Linked DNA regions of Cricetulus griseus. The protein of the gene in region 2 purifies or fractionates together with the protein of the main gene of each other region. This does not show direct contact. Links are inferred from orthologs where the notes say so. Each region holds a gene or a part of one and is shown on either strand. Other genes may lie near its edges.

The links.
Region 1: the proteins of Cnot1 (region 2) and Capza1 purify together in Homo sapiens (affinity purification with mass spectrometry; 3 studies listed by BioGRID and IntAct, with this or other methods). This does not show direct contact. The link is inferred for Cricetulus griseus from reciprocal best matches to the Homo sapiens genes CNOT1 and CAPZA1.
Region 3: the proteins of Cnot1 (region 2) and Cnot10 purify together in Homo sapiens (affinity purification with mass spectrometry; 4 studies listed by BioGRID and IntAct, with this or other methods). This does not show direct contact. The link is inferred for Cricetulus griseus from reciprocal best matches to the Homo sapiens genes CNOT1 and CNOT10.
Region 4: the proteins of Cnot1 (region 2) and Tnks1bp1 purify together in Homo sapiens (affinity purification with mass spectrometry; 5 studies listed by BioGRID and IntAct, with this or other methods). This does not show direct contact. The link is inferred for Cricetulus griseus from reciprocal best matches to the Homo sapiens genes CNOT1 and TNKS1BP1.
Region 5: the proteins of Cnot1 (region 2) and Cnot8 purify together in Homo sapiens (co-immunoprecipitation; 5 studies listed by BioGRID and IntAct, with this or other methods). This does not show direct contact. The link is inferred for Cricetulus griseus from reciprocal best matches to the Homo sapiens genes CNOT1 and CNOT8.

What each region holds. Positions count from the first base shown.
Region 1 is NW_023276806.1:52,113,498-52,117,624, reverse strand, and holds the start of Capza1 (F-actin-capping protein subunit alpha-1), read right to left. Parts: upstream 2,809-4,127; 5' UTR 2,717-2,808; coding exon 2,678-2,716; intron 1-2,677. Other genes in the region: St7l (suppressor of tumorigenicity 7 protein-like), read left to right, coding at 3,434-3,647. UniProt on the Homo sapiens protein: F-actin-capping proteins bind in a Ca(2+)-independent manner to the fast growing ends of actin filaments (barbed end) thereby blocking the exchange of subunits at these ends.
Region 2 is NC_048596.1:171,936,696-171,940,207, reverse strand, and holds part of Cnot1 (CCR4-NOT transcription complex subunit 1), read left to right. Parts: coding exon 1-57; intron 58-1,133; coding exon 1,134-1,313; intron 1,314-2,011; exon of another isoform or gene 2,012-2,147; intron 2,148-2,457; coding exon 2,458-2,574; intron 2,575-2,900; coding exon 2,901-3,011; intron 3,012-3,454; coding exon 3,455-3,512.
Region 3 is NC_048597.1:221,673,490-221,677,001, reverse strand, and holds part of Cnot10 (CCR4-NOT transcription complex subunit 10), read left to right. Parts: intron 1-454; coding exon 455-604; intron 605-1,611; coding exon 1,612-1,814; intron 1,815-3,512. UniProt on the Homo sapiens protein: Component of the CCR4-NOT complex which is one of the major cellular mRNA deadenylases and is linked to various cellular processes including bulk mRNA degradation, miRNA-mediated repression, translational repression during translational initiation and general transcription regulation.
Region 4 is NC_048599.1:90,486,588-90,490,702, reverse strand, and holds the start of Tnks1bp1 (182 kDa tankyrase-1-binding protein), read left to right. Parts: upstream 1-1,310; 5' UTR 1,311-1,442; intron 1,443-1,952; exon of another isoform or gene 1,953-2,336; intron 2,337-3,712; exon of another isoform or gene 3,713-3,865; intron 3,866-4,115. Other genes in the region: FACT complex subunit SSRP1, read left to right, coding at 1-35.
Region 5 is NC_048600.1:72,166,472-72,170,770, forward strand, and holds the start of Cnot8 (CCR4-NOT transcription complex subunit 8), read left to right. Parts: upstream 1-1,493; 5' UTR 1,494-1,635; intron 1,636-4,299. UniProt on the Homo sapiens protein: Has 3'-5' poly(A) exoribonuclease activity for synthetic poly(A) RNA substrate. Its function seems to be partially redundant with that of CNOT7.

The DNA.
Region 1 (4,127 bases), on a different chromosome or scaffold from region 2:
GAATTCAGACTTTCTCAAAACAAACAAACAAAAAATCCCCAACAACCCTAAGTAAACAAATCAGGAAATATCTTGGAAAAATCTTTTCTCAGAATAGCGTTTTTTTTTTTGTTGTTGTTGTTTGTTTTGGTTTTTTTTCTGAGAAAGGGTCCCATTCATGTAGCTGAGGCTGGTCTTAAATTCCCTGTTACCAAGGATAAACTTAAATTCATAATCCTCTTTCTGTTTACCTCCCAAGAGCTGGGAATATTACAGACAGGCACTATCAGGCCCAGCCTTCCTACCTTTCTCAAGTTTTGAATTCAGATAAAATAAATCTGAAGGTTAAAAGGAAAAGCAGGCAAAGGTAAGAAGCCCCCAAATCAGGAAGTCTTTCAAAGCCCTTTCTTTTTACTCATAGATTTAGAGAGATATGAATGTGCCTGTGAACTCTGAGGAAAGGAATCTAACAAAACTACAGTAATCTCAAATCTTAAGGGTCTCTCTATGTAGTCCTAGAATTCACATTTAGACGAAGCTGGCCTTGAACTCACAGAGATCCACCACCCTCTGCCTCCTGAGCCTTGAGATTAAAGGTGTGCACCACCATGCCTGGCTCAAATCTCCAACGATTTTTACTGTATCAGTACATTTCGTTATGTACACCAATAAAGACAATGTAGTAAAAAAAAAAAAAAAAAAAAAAAAAGACCCCCAAAATCTCTATTAAACCCAGCATCATGGGGTTTGACTACAATCCCAGCACATAGAAGGCAGAAGCAAGAGACAAATTGGAGCCCAGTCCAGTCTACACAGCAAGTTTCAGACAAGCTAGGGCTACATAGCAAGACTCTGTCCCCAAAACACAAAAAATAAGATCTTTACTAAAACAGGAATAAAATTCATGGTTACTTCTGGGGCAGATTTACTAATTATTGGCTTGTTCTATCATCATTAAAAGTAAGCAACAAATCTAAGTGTGATGGCATATAACAGTAATACTTGAGAGGTTGAGATAAGAGGATTAGGGATGGGGGGGGTCATCCTTGCTATATAGTGAGTTGGAGGCTTACACGAGACACAGTCTCAAGAAACAGAATAAAATTTCACTCTAACGATGTTATGTGAACCAAAAGTACTTGCCTTAGAATAAACATTTTGCTATAGTTTTCTTTCTAATGTTAATTCAGCTGTCTTTTTGTTTCCTAGGTATTTACATTTATGATGCTCAATCTCCACCTAAGAGAAAACAACCCTCATGTGTTATTTGTTGGCTTTTTATTTTGATGCTGATGCTGAAGTTCAAACACAGGACACTGCATGTATAAAGTGCTCTACCAAGAAACTGCCGTCCCAGTACGTGTTAAGTGGTTTGTAAAGGCATTAAGCAAATTTTCAGCATTTAAAAATGGTGGCCCACACATACACAGGTATAAGTTAAGTTATTCTTTATGGAGAAGTGATCAAAAATAGTCTGTTCCTCCCAACAATCTCCAATATTTTCACTACTATAAGAACCTGGGCAGATTTTTATAGAACACTGGAGAGTACACACTTTGTAACAGTCTCTGCAGGAAGCAAAAGACATGTTCTTGTCCCATAAGGAGTTATCTAGTGAGACCATTCTACTTCTACCAACCCTAAAATGCTGTGTTTACTGTAGAGCCAGCCACTTCTTTCTTTTTTGGACAAACTGCTTAGTAAACGTTTGCTGTTTTGAGAAAAAGTCATTCCATTTAATTTATAATGCACCCTTGTATTTAAACCGCCTTTAAAGATCTAACTACACAATGCACACTGTCAAACCCAACTATCAAACACCACAGCAGGTCATCAAAAAGGGCTGGGTGTGTCATTTAAACTAAATGTGTTAATGTGAGGTTTATTTACTACCAAACTTTTCTGGAGTTGAAAAAAAAAAAGTCTACTGGCTACTATTCCTCGCTGAACAGGAAGCCAAAATTACTTTGAAAAAATTATAGTTAAGAAGATTAAGACAGACAGAAGGGATGGAGTCACCTTGGGGCCATACACGGACACAAGACAGCAGCAGCAGGAACAAAAGTCAAACTCTTAAGCAAATGCCCTGAGGTTTACAGATTTATTTTTTATCAAATTAGTTCAATCGTCACTAGCTGAGAAAAGACCAGGGTGTGTAGTTAGGTGGATAGATAATACCAGACAGAGGACCTCTCCCTGTCAAGGAGTCATGACAGCAAAATCACTTCCTGAGGAAGGAGGAGCAAAAGGGAAGTTAAGGAGGCAACTCTGATCAGGAAGTGACTCGTCCCAAACTAACCCCAATCATACCTATAAATGGGGAGGGGGGAGCCCCAACAGCCAAAGGCGGTAAAATAGCTGCTGCCTGACACGTCCCAACATCACCTTCATCCCCTCTCTTATAATTATATAAAAGAAAGTACAGTTAAAAGTCAATCAGGTAAAGTGTCTCCTCTTTTAAAGGAAAGCTGTGCTCGATCAAGAATGGAAAGAGTTGAGGCATGGGGAACTGGGGCCACCGTGAGGCAAAGGAAAGCCCCTTTAAGGAAGGAAGCGTCCCGGGTGCACAGGGAGTATGCCAGCACCGGGAAACGGGCTTTTTTTTTCCCGGGGACACCGCCAGGCTTCCCACTGCTGCCGGCTCGGACCCCTAGGCCCCGTCGGGGGAGGAGGTAAAGGAGAGAGGCGGACCCCTTACCTTCTCCTCATCCGACACCCGATCCTCGAAGTCGGCCATCTTGGCTGCTCTGGCCCAGCCCGGCGACCGGCGCGAGGCAGGCCGGGAAGGAAGCTGAGTGGTGGAATCACCAAGGGGGCCGTCGGAAGGACCCGCCCGGAAGCTCCGGCCAAAAGGGCGCCATGTCAGTTCCGCGCGGGTGTGACAGCCTGGAGTGGCAACGCTCTAGGAAAGTAGGCTTTGCCATCGAGGCCTCGGAGTCTTAACATCTTTCTCACTGAATTTCAGTCACTTTCCCATCCATCCTGGAAGCTCGGTGGCGACTCTCGACTGTCCGTGGCGCCAGGGCTACCTCTGGTCACGCAGCAGTTCCTACACCTATGAGTTTTCCTGGTCCCGCAGGTCTCCGAGGCAGCCGAGTCCAGTGCGCTAAGAGCTGCCCGGCTCTAGGCAACACCAGTACTTTTCCAGTCCCGGAACGGGGCGAAAGATGACCCCCAACCTCATAGGGAACCACAACCACTTCCCTCCAGCGCCACACTGAGTCCGTTTCCTGCAGAATAAGTGCCACCTTCGAATCCTTCCCCGCCCTCCTAGAGGACCAGGTGGCGCCTCGGTCTGAGGTCGCGCTCCGTCGCCTTCCCGATCTCTGTCCAGGTCCCCAGGACTCAGCCTTGACAGAGGCCAGCTTCAAGTCCGCCACTATCCCAGGATTCCCAACTCCGGGTTTCCTGCCCTTCTCCCCTCCCAGGTCCCGGCGCCTGCCGGAGCCGCAAGATGGCGGACGGGGAATACTTCGCGGAAGCCGCGCGGGCTGTGGGGTGTCCCCATGCACCTGTTCCCGGCTTGGGCCTGGGCCCGCCGCTGGGCTGGAAAGAGCGGCTGAAGGCCGGGCTGGCGAACTCTGGGTCCACGCTGTGGTTCCTGGCGGGGCTGGGGCTGCTTTACGCTCTGAGGGTCCCGCTGAGGCTGTGTGACAACGTGACAGCGGGTGAGAGGCCCAAACCTCCTGGACGGTCGGGGACAAGCGCCAAAGTGCAGAGATTCTCGGGGAGTCGTGGAGGGCTTTGGAGAAGGCATTGGTGTTGCATGCTCCAGTGGGTTATTTTTCCCCCCCCTTGGGCCACAACAACCGGGCAGCTGATTGTCAAACCTGTGCTGCAGTTTGCCGGCCCCTCCCTAGAGCTCTGAAGGTTCGCTCTCTCTGTTCTGCCTACATTACCGCAGGAAAAACTATCTGACAAGCTGCAAGCTTCAGGTAGTAAGACAGAAAAGAGCATTTCTGTCTTACAGAAAAGAGCAGTTACCAACACACAATTTATATACATACATTCTTCTTATTTGCAGCCCCCCTTTAAAATAGTGCCTTTGAGTCTCCAGCCGCCTAGCTTAAAGAACCCGCACCCAGAAAATCAGCATTATCTGTAATACTATGATTTCAGAGGACCATGCTTCCTTCTAGTGTAAGATA
Region 2 (3,512 bases):
CAAGAGAAAATCGCTTTTATCTTCAACAATCTCTCACAGTCAAATATGACCCAGAAGGTAAGCATGATATAATAGTTTATGAAATGCCCTCTCCTTTTCCTTGATGGGAAGAGGGATTTTTAAAAACCGTTTTAGTTAAATCAGTCAGGTACATGGTATAAGTCTGTAGTCTGAGCTACTGAGGTGGCCAAAGTTGGAAAATTGCTTAAGCACAAGGAAAAGACTAGCCTTTTCTATCATTTAGTGATAGAAAGCCTGCTTGAAAACAAAAGCAAACAAACTCCATTTAAAAGGTATGATTTTTTAGTTGGTTGTGGTGTCACATGTCTTTTAAAAAGGAAAAAAGAAGGCACTTTTGCAGGAATTAAGCAGTATCCCTTTGAGTTGTATTGTTTTGCATTGAGTTGTAGCGATTTTGAAATAATGTCATGCCCTTCTGATAAGGGAAGTGTTACTTATTTTTGGTGGTAGGGTTTTTTGTTTGGCCAGCTTGGAGCTCACTATGTTAACCATGATGGCCTCTAAATTCTGTCTGCCTCTCAAGTGCTGGGATTAAAGGTCCTAACCTCCATGCCCAACCTTGATGGGAGGTTTCATTTTATCTTATTCCAGAAACTACGTGTTTATTAGACCCAGGAAGAACTGTGAGGTACACCTATGAGAAGCATAAGGAACAATGCCTGCCTTTTGAGAGTAAAGATTCAGATAGTACTTTTGAAGTGACAGTCTTTGAAGAGATTATCATAAGTAGGTTTTAGGTTGTGCATGGTGACACATAGTAAAATAGAGGCAGGAGGATTTCTGAGACTTTGAGGCCAGCTTGGTCTACATTGTGAGTTCCAAGCTACATAGAGAGACCCTGCCTCAAAAACAAACAAACAAAAGATGTAAGTTTAATATGCTGGGCCTTGGGGTGTAAGCTTGTAATACCAACACTTGGGAATCTTTTTTAAAAAAATCTGAAGAGTACTTGTCAAAATATCATGGGGAAAGACCCATCTTAGTAGTTCAGTATCATGGAGTTTATGTGGAGCCAGATGCTGTGTGGTGTGATTCATAAAACCCAGGATTCATTCTGTCTGTTTTTCTATTTGTACTAATTATTTATTGCCTATGTCATGTTGACTGGCTAGGTGGAAGAGCTTAAAGAAACCGTGAAGGAAGAGTTTATGCCTTGGGTTTCCCAGTATCTAGTTATGAAAAGAGTCAGTATTGAGCCAAACTTTCATAGCCTGTATTCAAACTTTCTTGACACATTGAAGAATCCAGAATTTAACAAGATGGTTCTGAATGAGACCTACAGAAACATTAAAGTAAGAGTTCTTAATAAATCCTTTAATAACTTTAAGTTGATTTTAACAGGTATAACTTGGGATGATTTGTTCTTTTTCTCTTTGTTATTTATGTTAGATACCCACAGAAAGGGTTGTGGATTTTGTATAAGATGTTGAACCTACTGGGTTCAATAGACCTAATTTTAAATTACTTTAGCCCAAGTTTTTATGCGCTCATATGCACATGTGTGTGCTCAGAGGACAACTTTCAGGAGGTGGTTCTCTATAATATGGTTCTCGGGGCTCCAACTCAGAATATCAAACACCAGAATATCTGGTTTTGTGGCCACTTATGCTAACATGTAACACAGTATATTTGTGGTGTATAGTCTTGTTGACGTGGTAGCGCCCAACCACTTCTCCCTCATCTCTTTGGAAATTAGCTGCAGCATTGTTCTCAGTTCTCTATCTTGGTTTTTACATACTAGAAATAAAACCTTTTTGCTGGCTAAGTGTTGGTTATCTAGATTCCAGATCTATTTGTGAAATAGCTTGGGTTCTGGAATTCTTTACAGTTCAAGGTTATATACTCTTATTATACTTGTTCCGTAAAGTTCAACTGTTTCACTTCTAAACTACCATTTATGTTTGAATTTGAAACTTTTTCAAGAAACAGTGTAAACCAGATGAAGCTGAGATCATCCATTATTGAGTAACTTGGGTCTGGCTTAGGAAGTAGCACTATATTTAAACCTACAGATGGGAATTTTCCCCATTCTAGGTTACGCTGTAGTGCAAAAAGAATTCCTGGCTCCTGGTTGCACAGCTGACTTATGCCATTTTGCTGTTGCTTTATGGAGTTAAGGAACATTGTGTTCTACTTTTATTATCTTATAGTAAGGATTTTTTCAATCTTTGGAGATTCTCATGTACTGGAGCAAATTTCAATAATAACCATTTATTTGTTTACTGTGTCATTGTGTGTTGTAACCAGGGTTTTATACATGGTAGATTACTATTCCACCAATTGAGCTCCTTAAATGATACATGGAATAGATCTACTTTGGGTGTATTCTCAGAATTGATAGCTTACTTTTAAAATGGATACTGGAATTCTCAATATGAAATTGAGAATTTCTTTCATAAACTTATTGTTATATTTGTATATCCTATACTATTTTAGGTGCTGCTGACCTCTGATAAAGCTGCAGCCAATTTCTCAGATCGTTCTTTGCTGAAGAACTTGGGACATTGGCTAGGAATGATCACATTAGCTAAAAATAAACCCATCTTGCACACGGTGAGTTTTACGATAGACATACATATGTAAAAGTTGGCTAGAAGGAATGCTTTGATTATCACTGGGCTTTTACAAGACTTGGACCATGTTAGAATTGTTAATTTTGTGTTCATGGTCTCTTGGGCTCTTTTAGGATATAGAAAATCCAGTGAGGTGTGCTTGTACCCCCCCCCCTTTTTTTTTTTCTTTTTCTCAGGCAAGGATTGTATTGATTGTACTTTGAGAGATAAGCTTAGTGAGTGACATACCTTTAAGTTATGCCCCCTTCCCCCAAGGGCTTCTGGAACAGATTCCTGGCTTCTCAAAATTTTGTTTTAAATTTCTAGGACTTGGATGTGAAATCTTTGCTGCTAGAGGCTTATGTTAAAGGACAACAAGAATTGCTTTATGTAGTGCCCTTTGTTGCCAAAGTTCTAGAGTCCAGCATCCGTAGTCTGGTGAGTAAATGTTATTCATGGTGAGTTGTGAGAGATTGTTAACACAATTCCCAAGAGATAGCTTTCTTCTTATGCACATGGAGCTATTTTTTGGGTTGGTTTCTTTTAAAGACTTAATGCATGTGTACCGGCCCACCAGAAGAGGGCACCAGATATCATTATAGATGGTTGTGAGCCACCATGAAGGTGCTGGGAATTGAACTCAGGACTTCTGGAAGAGCAGCCAGCAGCCAGTGCACCTAACCTTTGCGCCATCTCTCCATCCCTGGTCTTAGATAGTTTTAAAGTTAGGTGAAATTATAAGACAGAATATATCACCCTCAGTGTTTTTCTGTAATGTGTTGGAGTTTTTTTTTATGATCATGTAAATTTAAATGTTGAAATAATACTTACTAAATAATTCTTTGATTTAGAGGTAGCTTAATACCATAACTTTTCTTTAGGTATTTAGACCACCAAACCCCTGGACAATGGCAATTATGAATGTATTGGCTGAATTGC
Region 3 (3,512 bases), on a different chromosome or scaffold from region 2:
TCTTCCTCTGCCTCTTGAGTGCTGTATACTCTGTTCTATTGCCTACATTCTCCCTGTTATTTATTCTTCACTTAGTGTATTTTAGCTGTTTCCATGTCAAGACCTTATATGTTCTACCATTGAGCCTCCATGTTTAGATTGCTTCATTGTTTGCAGTTTATATGGTATTTCACTGTGGATGTATGGCATGTATATTGTTTTTATTTTTTGTCACTTGCTGAAAATAAGGTCAGAAAAAAAAGTATGCAGGGTTGACTTAAAATAGTATTATCTGCCAGAAAGAGTGTGTCACCCTATCCAGTCCTCACACTTACACCATTCCTAATGAACTGCCTTTTAGCGACTAAGTGACATTCCAGATAGATTAACTAACTGACAGCAAGTAGATCTGATTTGTATATGAGGGACTGCAAAAACAAAATTGTGTGGATAAAGTGGTTTGTGTTGTTTTCAGGTGAATGCTTGAGGTGCATGTTTTGGAATAATCTTGGTTGCATCCATTTTGCCATGGGCAAGCACAATTTGGGGATTTTCTACTTTAAGAAGGCTCTGCAAGAAAATGACAATGTCTGTGCCCAGCTCAGTGCATGTGGCACTGATCCAGGTAGGCAGCACTGGGAACTGCAGTGTCCTGTTTAGAGACACGTTACTGAGAGAGCAAGCATGGGGGAGGAGAGCTGGGTGTGGGAGATACAGTCAGAGCTCAGGGGAAGTGACAAGTTTTGTTTGAAGGTTCCATAGTAAAAGGAGTTGCGGTCATCCCATCGAAGGGTGCAGGCCGTGTGGACAGACTTGGCTCTGGAGACATTTAGTAGTTATTGCACCTTGATGTTAGGAAGCTAAGAGAAACTTTGACTTACCAAAAAAAGGGGGGGGGGCTGGGGAAATGGCTCAGCAATTAAACAAGGGGAGCAGACCCCAGAATCTGCATAAATGCTGTGTACCCATGGCCAAGGCAAGATCCTGGAACAAGCTGGCTGGTGAGACCAGCCCTCTCAGGGAGCTTCAGTAACTGTCAGCAACAAAAAGGCCCGAGTGATTAAGAGAGCACCTCGACCTCAGACTTTTATACTTTCACATACGTACACACATGAAAACTCACAGACATGGGGAAAAGGAAGAAAATTCAGTTACCTCAGTTTGTTTTAGATTTGAATCAGTAACCCTAGATGGTGTGTTGATCAGTTCTAATTAGTCATTAGGATTTCTCCACTGTTAGGCCAGCGTTATTATAAATTGTTGGTGGAACTTCCCAAGTGATGGATTGGTGATATCTGACAGCCTTAAAGCATGACTGAAGTTTGTCATTTAACATTCAGATTATGTGGATCCTTGATCAGAAATGCTTAAAATCAAGTAGTTTGCTAATTTTTACATCATAAGCATCTATTTAATTGATTAAAAAAAATATTCTAGCCAGGCGGTGGTGGCACACACCTTTAATACCAGCTCTTGGGAGGCAGAGGCAGGTGGATCTCTGAATTCAAGGTCAGCCTGGTCTACAAGTTGAGTTCCAGGACAGCCAGGACTACCCAGAGAAAAAACAAAAAACAAAAGAAAGAAAGAAAGAAAAATATATTTAATAATCTAGTCTGCAATTTTTATTGCTAGGCAAAAAGTTTTCTGGAAGACCCATGTGTACTTTGCTAACCAATAAGAGGTATGAACTGCTGTACAACTGTGGGATCCAGCTGCTGCACATCGGGAGGCCACTGGCTGCCTTCGAGTGTCTGATTGAAGCTGTTCAGGTTTATCATGCAAATCCCCGGCTTTGGCTGCGGCTGGCTGAATGCTGCATTGCTGCCAATAAAGGGGTGAGTGCTATCTCTTGGGACTCTGCTTCTCCTCTCCAACACTTGTTACACAGAAAGCAAAACATACTTGGGATCTAAGACCTCAGTTTCCTTTTCAGCCTCACCGAATCTGTAGGAGACTCTTCTGTTAGCAGCTGGGGGTTGTTTGTCACTTGCTTAGCTCTGATTGTTGGCAAAGGGTTGGTGCCAATGAGAAGACTGTCTGTCAGAACAGTAGCTCCTGTTGGGCCTGGCCTGTGCCATCTGCAAGCATGAAGGAAGCGTGTGAGTGTGGCACTAAGGGTGAGTGTGTGAAGTGTGAATGTGGCGCTAAGAGTGTGTGTGTGAGGTGTGAATGTGGCGCTAAGAGTGTGTGTGTGAAGTGTGAATGTGGCGCTAAGAGTGTGTGTGAAGTGTGTGAGTGTGGCGCTAAGAGTGTGTGTGTGAAGTGTGAGTGTGGCGCTAAGAGTGTGTGTGTGAGGTGTGAATGTGGCGCTAAGAGTGTGTGTGTGAGGTGTGAATGTGGCGCTAAGAGTGTGTGTGTGAAGTGTGAGTGTGGCGCTAAGAGTGTGTGTGTGAGGTGTGAATGTGGCGCTAAGAGTGTGTGTGTGAAGTGTGAATGTGGCGCTAAGAGTGTGTGTGTGAGGTGTGAATGTGGCGCTAAGAGTGTGTGTGTGAGGTGTGAATGTGGCGCTAAGAGTGTGTGTGTGAAGTGTGAGTGTGGCGCTAAGAGTGTGTGTGTGAGGTGTGAATGTGGCGCTAAGAGTGTGTGTGTGAAGTGTGAGTGTGGCGCTAAGAGTGTGTGTGTGAGGTGTGAATGTGGCGCTAAGAGTGTGTGTGTGAGGTGTGAATGTGGCGCTAAGAGTGTGTGTGTGAAGTGTGAGTGTGGCGCTAAGAGTGTGTGTGTGAGGTGTGAATGTGGCGCTAAGAGTGTGTGTGTGAGGTGTGAATGTGGCGCTAAGAGTGTGTGTGAAGTGTGTGAGTGTGGCGCTAAGAGTGTGTGTGTGAGGTGTGAATGTGGCGCTAAGAGTGTGTGTGTGAGGTGTGAGTGTGGCGCTAAGAGTGTGTGTGTGAGGTGTGAATGTGGCGCTAAGAGTGTGTGTGAAGTGTGAGTGTGTTTGGCGCTAAGAGTGTGTGAAGTGTGAGTGTGTGACTTTGGCGCCTGTTCTGATGGGGAATGGACAGGAGTGCAGTAAGCAGCATTCCCTGCCGTGAAGCGCGTGACAACCAAGTTCCTCCTGACACACTGTCAGCTGCTCCAGCCTCCACACGCCTGGACATGGCAAGGGGGGGTCGTTTCCCCACTTTTCACTGACCTCTCTCAACCCAAGACTTCGGAGGCTGCTACTGTCTAGAGGTGACGGTGCAGAGCAGCCTAGTTTTAGACATTGTGGACAAGTGTGTCAGGAGGGTCTTGCCTGGCATGCCTGCCCGCCAGAGCTTACATCAGATGCTGAGGTTGTTCCCTGAGCAGCATTTTCTGAACAGCAGGCAGAAGAACCCAGGGCTTTGAGGAGGCATGTAGATGGGCAGTGTTTGCACTCGGGGTTGAGGTAGTCAATGACTTTAGTGCAGCGGAGAAGACAACACTAATGGCGCTCCTGAGTGGCTCGGTGGTGCCTTCGCTTGTGCTTTACCTTGCATGGTGTCGGGTGTGCACGCATGTTCGCATGCTGGCTCACACTCAGCTTTATGCATAGCAGGAAAGTACTCTACCAC
Region 4 (4,115 bases), on a different chromosome or scaffold from region 2:
GCTCAGAGGACTCTGCCTCAGGATCTGATGAGTAGAGGAAGAAAATTCTTGTCCTTGCCCTGTCACATCTCCAGGCTTTCTACATAGTTCTTGGACTCTGTGCCATCTGAGTAACTGCTCCTGGTGGCTTCCACTTCTCTGAGGCAGGCATCAAGGGAAACATCTAACCTCAGCTGCTTTGCAAGAATGGCTCCTTGTAATCTGGGGAAAGACTGGGTAGGAGTGCATTCTGTCTGCTCACAGTGCGTTGAAGGATCTAAGTCCTCGGCTCACTTGCCCGACTGTAGGGATAAAGCTGCTTCCTGTCTTATTCAAGTGGCTGCATCAGGGGTCATGTGAAGTCAGGCCTGTAGCTCCTAATAGGGGCCTATTTCTACTTTTATTTTGTATTTCTGGTCTGTGAAGTCAATTTAATAAATGGAACTGACTTTGGAAACCATGTCCTTATGTCTCCTTTCCCACTTTACATGTGGTGTTTACCCTTCTATCCGGACTCTGCAGGGCCCTCCTGCCCAGCTGGGAAGCAAGTCTTGAAGCACATCCTGTCCTTCCTGGCTGGACAAGCATTGGTTTTCACCCTTGTCTGTGAACAATGCCACCTGAGAGTCAAGAAATGAGTGCTGATCTGATTAGGAAGCCTCTCAGAGTTCCACTCCATTAGCCAGCACAGGGGTGGGAGTCGGAGGGGGCGGGGTTCTCAGCTCCATCCTTAATCACTTTAGGAGACAAGGGTCTTATAAGGCTTGAGGTAATAGAATGAGGATCGACTTTCTAGTGCAGGGAGTGGAAACCTGAGTCAGGAGGATGAGTAGTGTGTGAGTGAAGTTAAGTGTGTGAAGGGAGGGCTACAAAATTTCATGTTTGGGAAGTGTATCTAAGAGAGCTCTTAAACAGATAACACGAGGGAAAAAGCTACTCCACTTTCTACTGTGGCTTTCAATCTGAATTTATACACGACGGGTGGCCACGTCGCTTGCGCTCCCAGGAAGACTCAGGTGTAACAGGAAGCCTGTTCAGTCCGCCAGCGGTTCCCTTCGTGCTGCCCGCGCTCTATGGTGCTGTAATCAGTGTAGGCTTAGGGAAAGCAGTCCAGAGCGGTTTCCTCTCTAGGCAGTCATCTCGGTGGCGCTGGGGTAAAATTGCGTCAGTTTCGCCTAAGTCTGAATCAGGACCGGCTCCTCATTTACAAGGTCATGAATAATTATGTGCGAGCTGTGCTTGTTTGCATCTCGTGGGCCGGACTCTGTTTCAGCTTCGGCTTCCCTCTCACGGATTCTTATATGAATATTCATGAACGGCATGGAGGCGTGTCCCTGGGCGGGGCTATGGGAGGGGCCCCGGGGCTTGCACTGGCTCGGTCCCGCGGTGACGGTGGCGGCAGCGGCAGCAGCGGTCACTGGCGTCGGGGTGCCTAGCCGAACGGAGCCCGTCCCGGGGAGCGCGTGAGTGTGCGGCGACGGCCGGAGGGGGCGGGGTCCGGGGATGGGGGCGGGGAAGGGCATGGAAAGAACCGGGCGCCTAGCAGTCCCGACCTCAGATTGGGGCGGCGGCGATGGTGGTGGGGGGGTCACTAGGAAAGTTTGCGAGGGCCTGGGGACGCGGGGGCGCTGCGGAGCTGGAGCGTGTGTGCGGGGGTGGAGAGCACTCGTGCCGGGAGCCAGAAGAAAGCGGGGAGAGGCGAGGGTGGGGCGGGGCCGGGCCGGGGGCGGGCGGAGCTACTCGAGGGACCCCCCCCTCCTGCCTTCACCGGCCCTCTTCCTCAACTCTCATGGCACGCCCCCAGCCACCCCAGGCCGCCCTCACAGTCCTCCTCGCCAGTCCTCGGTCTGTTCCTTCGCGGGCTGCTTGGCATCTCTCACTGTCCCCGCTGCTGCCGCCCCCTCCTCCTCCACCCTCATCTGCTCCTCCTCTTCGCCTGGCCGCTCGATGTCCGTAAGCTCCCCACGGAGGCCCTCCAAACAGCCCCTTGCCCTGGGCTGTTCCGCCTTCCTGTTGGCCCTCCCTCTTCCAACACTTAACCCTCCTGGTCGCACTAGTCGCACATTCAGCAGGAGACCTTTAGGGACGACCCTGCCGGCCCTTAGGGTGCCTGCCTGCCCAGGACTGAGGCTGCCTAGTGCCTTCCCATCCTTTGGGGGCAGCCTTTACTCCCAAGGCTGTCTGGTTTCCCTAGACCATTAAGGGTGCGGAGTTCTTGAGGCACTGCGATTCTGCAGCTTGAGGCCATGGCCTTGGTTTCCTGGGGCTCCTGGCTGGGGCCTCTCTACTGTAGCCACCTCCTCTGTCTTCATCTCTGCAGCCCCTTATAACCTCAGAGGTGTCCATCAAGCCCACAGGTGAGAGGATTTTTTTTTCTAGACTAGTTTTTCTTCATTTCTAACCACCCACACCATATCCCTTGTAATAATGTTCAAGGACAAGGAAGCAATCTTGTGTATTTTTAATTTTATTTTTTCCTGTCACCCCCTCCCCCCCCACACACGTTATTCTCCCACGCACAGCCCGTGGTAATTGGCTGATCAGAGATTGACATTGTCACAGTTTCTCTCCATACCCTCTTCGAAATAAGCTGGGACAGGGTCAAGGGGATGGGGATGCCTTTTGCAAAGACTGGGCACCACAGGTCGTTTTTAGCATTGAGAGCTATCTTCTCAGACCAGTTGGAGTGGGAAAGGGACTTTGAGGTTGCAACACAGTGAGGGTTGGGTTGCCCCTCCAGGGTTGTGTGCATTCCGTGTGTTAGGCAGCTTCTCCCTTGCTTTTGAACCTCAGGGGCAGTGCTTGCTATTCATCAGGTAGCAGAGCCTGAGGGGGCCTTGTGGGTGGGAGGGTGCATCAGCACCCAGGGTGGGAACTGAGGAGGTGGAGTGCCTGAAGAACTGATGACTTGGGGTCATGAAGGACTGGTCTAGGAATGCAGCCTAGGGTAGGGGGAGAGTTATAGGTGGTTACCAAGGATGTTAGTTAGCTCATTAGTGACTCCGAATGTAGTCACATTAATAGTGGCCAACTGTTACTTATCACTTCCATGCTTGGTATTTTGCATGCATTATTTGGCTTGAAACTCAAGTCTTAATACCCCATTTTTCAGATAGGGAAAAGTCACACAGCTTTAAAATGGTAGACCCACTTAGCTGTTAAATCTGTTAATATCAGATTCAGAAGCTCATGTGACAGGCTACTACTATGTGGCTGTCATCTGGTTTAATTTCTTCTGGTCCCTCAAAACTCCTTCTGGCCGTTTCCAGGCTAGTGATCCACACATATTCCTATTTCACAGTCTATGCAGGTCCCTCCCTGACTGTCCTGGAAGGCTGGACCCTGAGGAGTTTTCCTCCAAGTCAAGCCTCCCACCCCCACCCCCCGCCCCCCAATCAAGTCCAGTCTGTCCTCTCCCTGCCCATCCTGGGCCGGCTCCTCCTTCCCTTTGGCTAGGCCCTGGAAATCCAGTGGGAGGCCATTGCTATGGTAACAGGACTAGGCCCTGGCTTTACCTCATCAAATTCCAAGCTGAAGCCAAAACGATTGAGAAATTAAAGGAAAAAAATGTATTCCAGATGTTTACTTTTTATTTCTTATTTCCCCGTGTTTGGATGAGACAGCTCTGAGAGAAGGAGGAGGGGGCAGGGATGTGAAAGGAGAATGGGGAGAAGGGGGTAGGGAGCCACTCCCAGCCCATAGAGGGAGGGAGGAGACTGGGAAGGGGGGGGCGGCAGTGGGGCGGAGCCCCAGGTCGGGGAGGAGCGGGTTTTTCCCGTCTCCCATGAGGTGATTCCCGAGACTTGAGACTTTCCGGCCCTCTTACCCCGCCTGGAGTGGATACCTCTAGTGGGGCTGCCTGACCAAGAAGGGTGTCTTGGGAACTGTAAGTAGGGTGTCACAGGAGGGTGCTTGGGGATGTTGTGAGTGAGGTGGCTCTCATGCTCCAGATCTCTGAGGTTCAGAGCCAAGAGTTGGAGAGTTGTAGCAAGGATGTGGCTGTGGGGTCCTTCCCCACCCCGCCTGTGGGGACCTCCCCGACCTCCTCCTGGAGTTCTCTCTTCCTGTCCCACACAGCCTGGGTTAGAAATAGACTTCCTTGGCTAAGCCTGTTGACTCGCCCAGCTCTTTTCCTT
Region 5 (4,299 bases), on a different chromosome or scaffold from region 2:
TGGAGAGAACCGGATGTTTTCTATTCAGCTCTTTCAGTGCACACCAGGCCTATTGTTGGCAAGAAAAAAACAAAATTCCAAGAATTTCAAAGGCTGCTCCTCACATGTCTAGCACATGATAGAGCCACCCTCTCCTGAATCTAATTACAAGTAGGTGAACAGAGCAAAGACGGAGCACTGAACACGAACTGAAAGAGTGCAGCCTCTAGCTAGCCTAGACAGCCCGACACCTCAAAAGAGTCCCGCTGGGCAGCAAATGCCATCAACATTGTTGCAGAGAGAACCCACAGCAGATACAGTTACTAACTGCTCACACCTCATTGGGGTGTTGCTCTATCTAGGGGTTCAATCTCATCATAACCTTGAGACCCGTGTCTCTATTTTACAGATCTGCAGAGAAGAAGCAAAGCCTGAGGTTCAGAAACTGCCTTTGACATTTCTACCCCAAAGTCTGGCTGTGGGATTTCACTTCCCTGGAGAAAAATTTTAGGCAATCCCGTTTGAAAAGCCAGCAGGTCATATTTTGGAATCTCTTCAGGAACAAAAATTTAAAATGAAAAGGGCAGTGTGACTAGGAGATGGGATGTCAGAAGGTGGACACCTGCTGTATGCTTACCTACAGCCCCCTGAAGAGGAAGCACCAGGCATGGAGGCAGGAGCCGCACTAGGCTCCCCACTTCCTCCCTGGGAAGGGGCAGGGCTCCTGCGAGGCCTTAGTCTTCCTGCCTCTTGGGAGAGAGAGACCACGAGGCGACGGTGCATCCCAGCTTGGCTTCGTTGCCACCAGAGCCCTGTCGCCAGTGGATGGAGGGCTCCGGTCGTCGCATTTTGCGCTAGCCCGCAGCGCTAAGAGCCGACCGTGCAGGTCCAAATGCCGCACTGCGGCCATCCGGTTGCCATGGCAATGCTCTGGACAGGTCCTGGGAGGCCGTGCTCAGCTGACCTCCGTCGTGACTCGGTTTGGTGGTGCTCCCCACCCCCAGCTAATGGTCACCCAGAAGGGGTTCCGCGGGGTGGGGGGGTGTTTTGTGAATGGGAAATCCACGGTGCAGCAATCCAAGGGTCAGGATACCCCACGTGCCCTGTGCCATCACCTCCAACCAGTAGTCGTAATGCGCCCTGACATTAGGAAGGACGTCTTGACTGGAGACTTGGTCAGAGGGGCCACGCCCTCGGGGTCAGCTGTTCCCGCGCAGGACACCCCAGAACTCAGCTGAGGTCGTAAAAGAGGAACGGCCAGGTCTCTACTGTCTGGGCCGTCTGAGAATGCACGTCACACCTCGACCTGAGCACGAGTCCTCCGACACCGCCCAGCCCCCTCATTCTGCGCTTGCGCAGAGAGGCGGGCGTAGTCACCTGAGCGCGCACTTGGGGCGGAGCGGGGGGAAGGGCGGGCACGCGCCCGCCTGTAGTGACGCGAGAGAGTAGGCGAGTCGGGAGGGCTGAAGGGTAGAGCGGCACATCCCGCAGGTTTGGTGCACATCGTCGGCCTCTCTGGGCCCCGGGACTGGAGTCTCACTGGCTCTCTGGGTTCCTGGAGCGGATCCGGGGCAAGAGGGAAGAGAGCTCCGGGTCAAGGGCCACTGCTGCCCGGACTCGGCCGCCAGCCCGCGCTCGGCGGGGCCGCCAGCCAGGGTAAGCGGGCTGGGTTGTTCAGGGTAGGAGCGTGGGGCGGAAGTGCCTCCGTGGCGACCCATCCTACACACGGGAACACTGAGGCGCAGAGTCCACGGCTCTCCGGCTCCCCGGAGTTCGGCTTGGAGGCCTTAAGGAGTGGTAGGGGAGGCTGGAGGCTGCCTTGCTTGGATCTTGGGGGTAATGCAGCTTTGCGTGGTAGGGCCACCCTGGGAGAGCCAGCAAGCTGGTTGGGGCGCCGGCTGAGTTCAGGGTTATGGCCTGGAACGCTCCGGAGGAGACCTGTTGCCATTTCTTCTAACGGGCCGCTGCTTCCTCTTGCGCTGGTCTCGCACGGCAAAGTCTTTGTTTAGTCCTCTGAAACAGGGAAGTGAAGCTTATTGTTTCCCAGCCGCTCTGGCGAAAACAGAGCCAGACGAGCAGGAGACACTCAGCTGAACGATCTGCACTGTTGGCAGGGAGAGCATGTTTCTGGCTTTCGCACTGCTTGCTCGTCATAGCTCACCTGGATGCACAGGGACCTCTGCTTCGAAGTTTGGATAATCAGGAGCAGTCTGAACAGATTGCTCTGCAGCCTGCACAGGGCAGAGGGGTGTCTGATTGATTGTCTGTGAACACCTTTTCCTTTTGCAGTTTCAAATGTAGCTGGTGTGAGGGATCAAGTTTTAGCCAGACAAACATTGTATGGGATAAAAATTTTGCTTTAAGGGGTTGGAGAGATCGCTCAGCTGCTAAAGCGCATTCTGCTCATGCAGAGGACCGGTTCGGTACCCAGTAACCACATCAAGCGGCTCACACCACCTACTCTAGCTTCAGGGTATCCAGCACGCTCTTCTGGGCCCTGCCAGCACTGCACTCACATCCACTTACCCATAAATAAAAGGAATAAAAATAAAAATTTAAAGAATAGTGCAGACTGGGCTGAGAGGTGGCTCAGCGGTTAAGAGCACTGGCTGCTCCTCTAGAGGATCCTGGTTTGATCCGCAGCACCCACATGACAGCTCACAGCTGTCTGTAACTCCAGTTTAGGGAATCCATCGCACCAGGCATGCATATGGTGCACATATATCTATGCACGCAGGCAAAATACACATAAAAATAAAACTTTTAGTTAGATGTGCACTATATGACCCCCCCTTGTATGTCTAGAATCCCTGTGGTTCTGACTGTGAATGACAGGGTCCAAAGCCAAGCAAGGCTGGTCTGGAACTTCGGATGCAAGCCCAGGGTGGCCTCCTGAGGCATGAGCCACCACTCTCCCCCTGGTTCATTTTCAGTTGAAAAGTACTGTCTTTCTGGGCTGGAGTCTGCTATTCATATTCCCACAGATCTGCTAGGGAAAGGTTTGCTATGGGTCTTTGTTAGTGTCTGCTCCCGTGTGGTCCTTCACCAGATAACATAGCAGTGGCTTTGAAAGTGGTTGACATCCTAAAACAAATTCCCTTTTAAACAACTTCAGGCGCTTCTTTCGTTCTCTTTCTTCCCTCCCTCCCTCCCTCCCTCCCTCCCTCCCTCCCTCCCTCCCTCCCTCCCTCTCTGCCTCCCTCCCTCCCTTTGTTTCTGCTTCCCTTTTGCTTTAATGGAAACATCTTTTTAAAAGTTCAGGAGTGACACCACTTACCTTCTGTAGTTTATGGTTGTGCCCAGCCCAGAGAAACAAGGCACCTGTTTCACAGTAACTGGGCATGGAAAGTGACTTCAGGAGCCAGATGAAGGGGCTCATGCCTGTAACTGTAGCACTTGGGAGGGGGAGACAGGATTGATTGTTACAAGTGTAGAGGCCAGCCTGGATAGCTCCTGAGTAAATGTTTTCTCAGTTGTCAGATGTTGAATTTACTGCACATTCATTGTGAATGTGCATCTTTCCTGTCCTCTATTAGCTCACTTGCAAACCTTCATTAATAGAACAAAAACACGAAAGGTGGATTGTGCCTCTAAGAAGTAGCTGCCACGTGTGTGTATATGTTGGGAGCTACCACAGTCACTTAAGTTTTTAGTTTCAAGGAGGCATCTGCGAAGTGACAACCTTGAATGAAAGGTCTAATAGGAAGTAGACAGCATTAAGAAGGATCCTCAGGGGGCTGGAGAGACGGCTCAGAGGTTAAGAGCACTGACTGCTCTTCCAAAGGTCCTGAGTTCAATTCCCAGCAACCACATGGTGGCTCACAACCATCCGTTATGAGATTTGGTGCCCTCTTCTGGTGTACAGATATACATGGAAGCAGAATGTTGTATACTAAATAAATAAAATCTTTAAAAAAAAAAAAAAAAAGGATCCTCAGCTGGGTGGTAGTGGCACATACCTTTAATCCCAGCACTCAGGAGGCAGTCAGGACAGCCAAGGCTACATAGAGAAACCCTGTAAAGATCCTCGATCTCTTCTGGAGTTTCTACTGCACCTGTCAGTTTTGAGATAGAAAACAAGGACTTCTCTTGTTCTGGTCTTTAGAAAACCCTCAAATTCATGTACTGTTACTGAATTTTTTTGCCCATGTGCACTAGAACTCAGCATTACATACTGTGTAGAGGATCCATACAGTGGGTTTACATTAAAAGGAAGCTTTTATGGGTTGAAGAGTTGACTCAGTGGCTAAGGGTACTTGTGAAAGACCCAGGTTCGAGTTCCAGCAACCACAGGTAGGCTTACCACCTCCTCGGACAGCA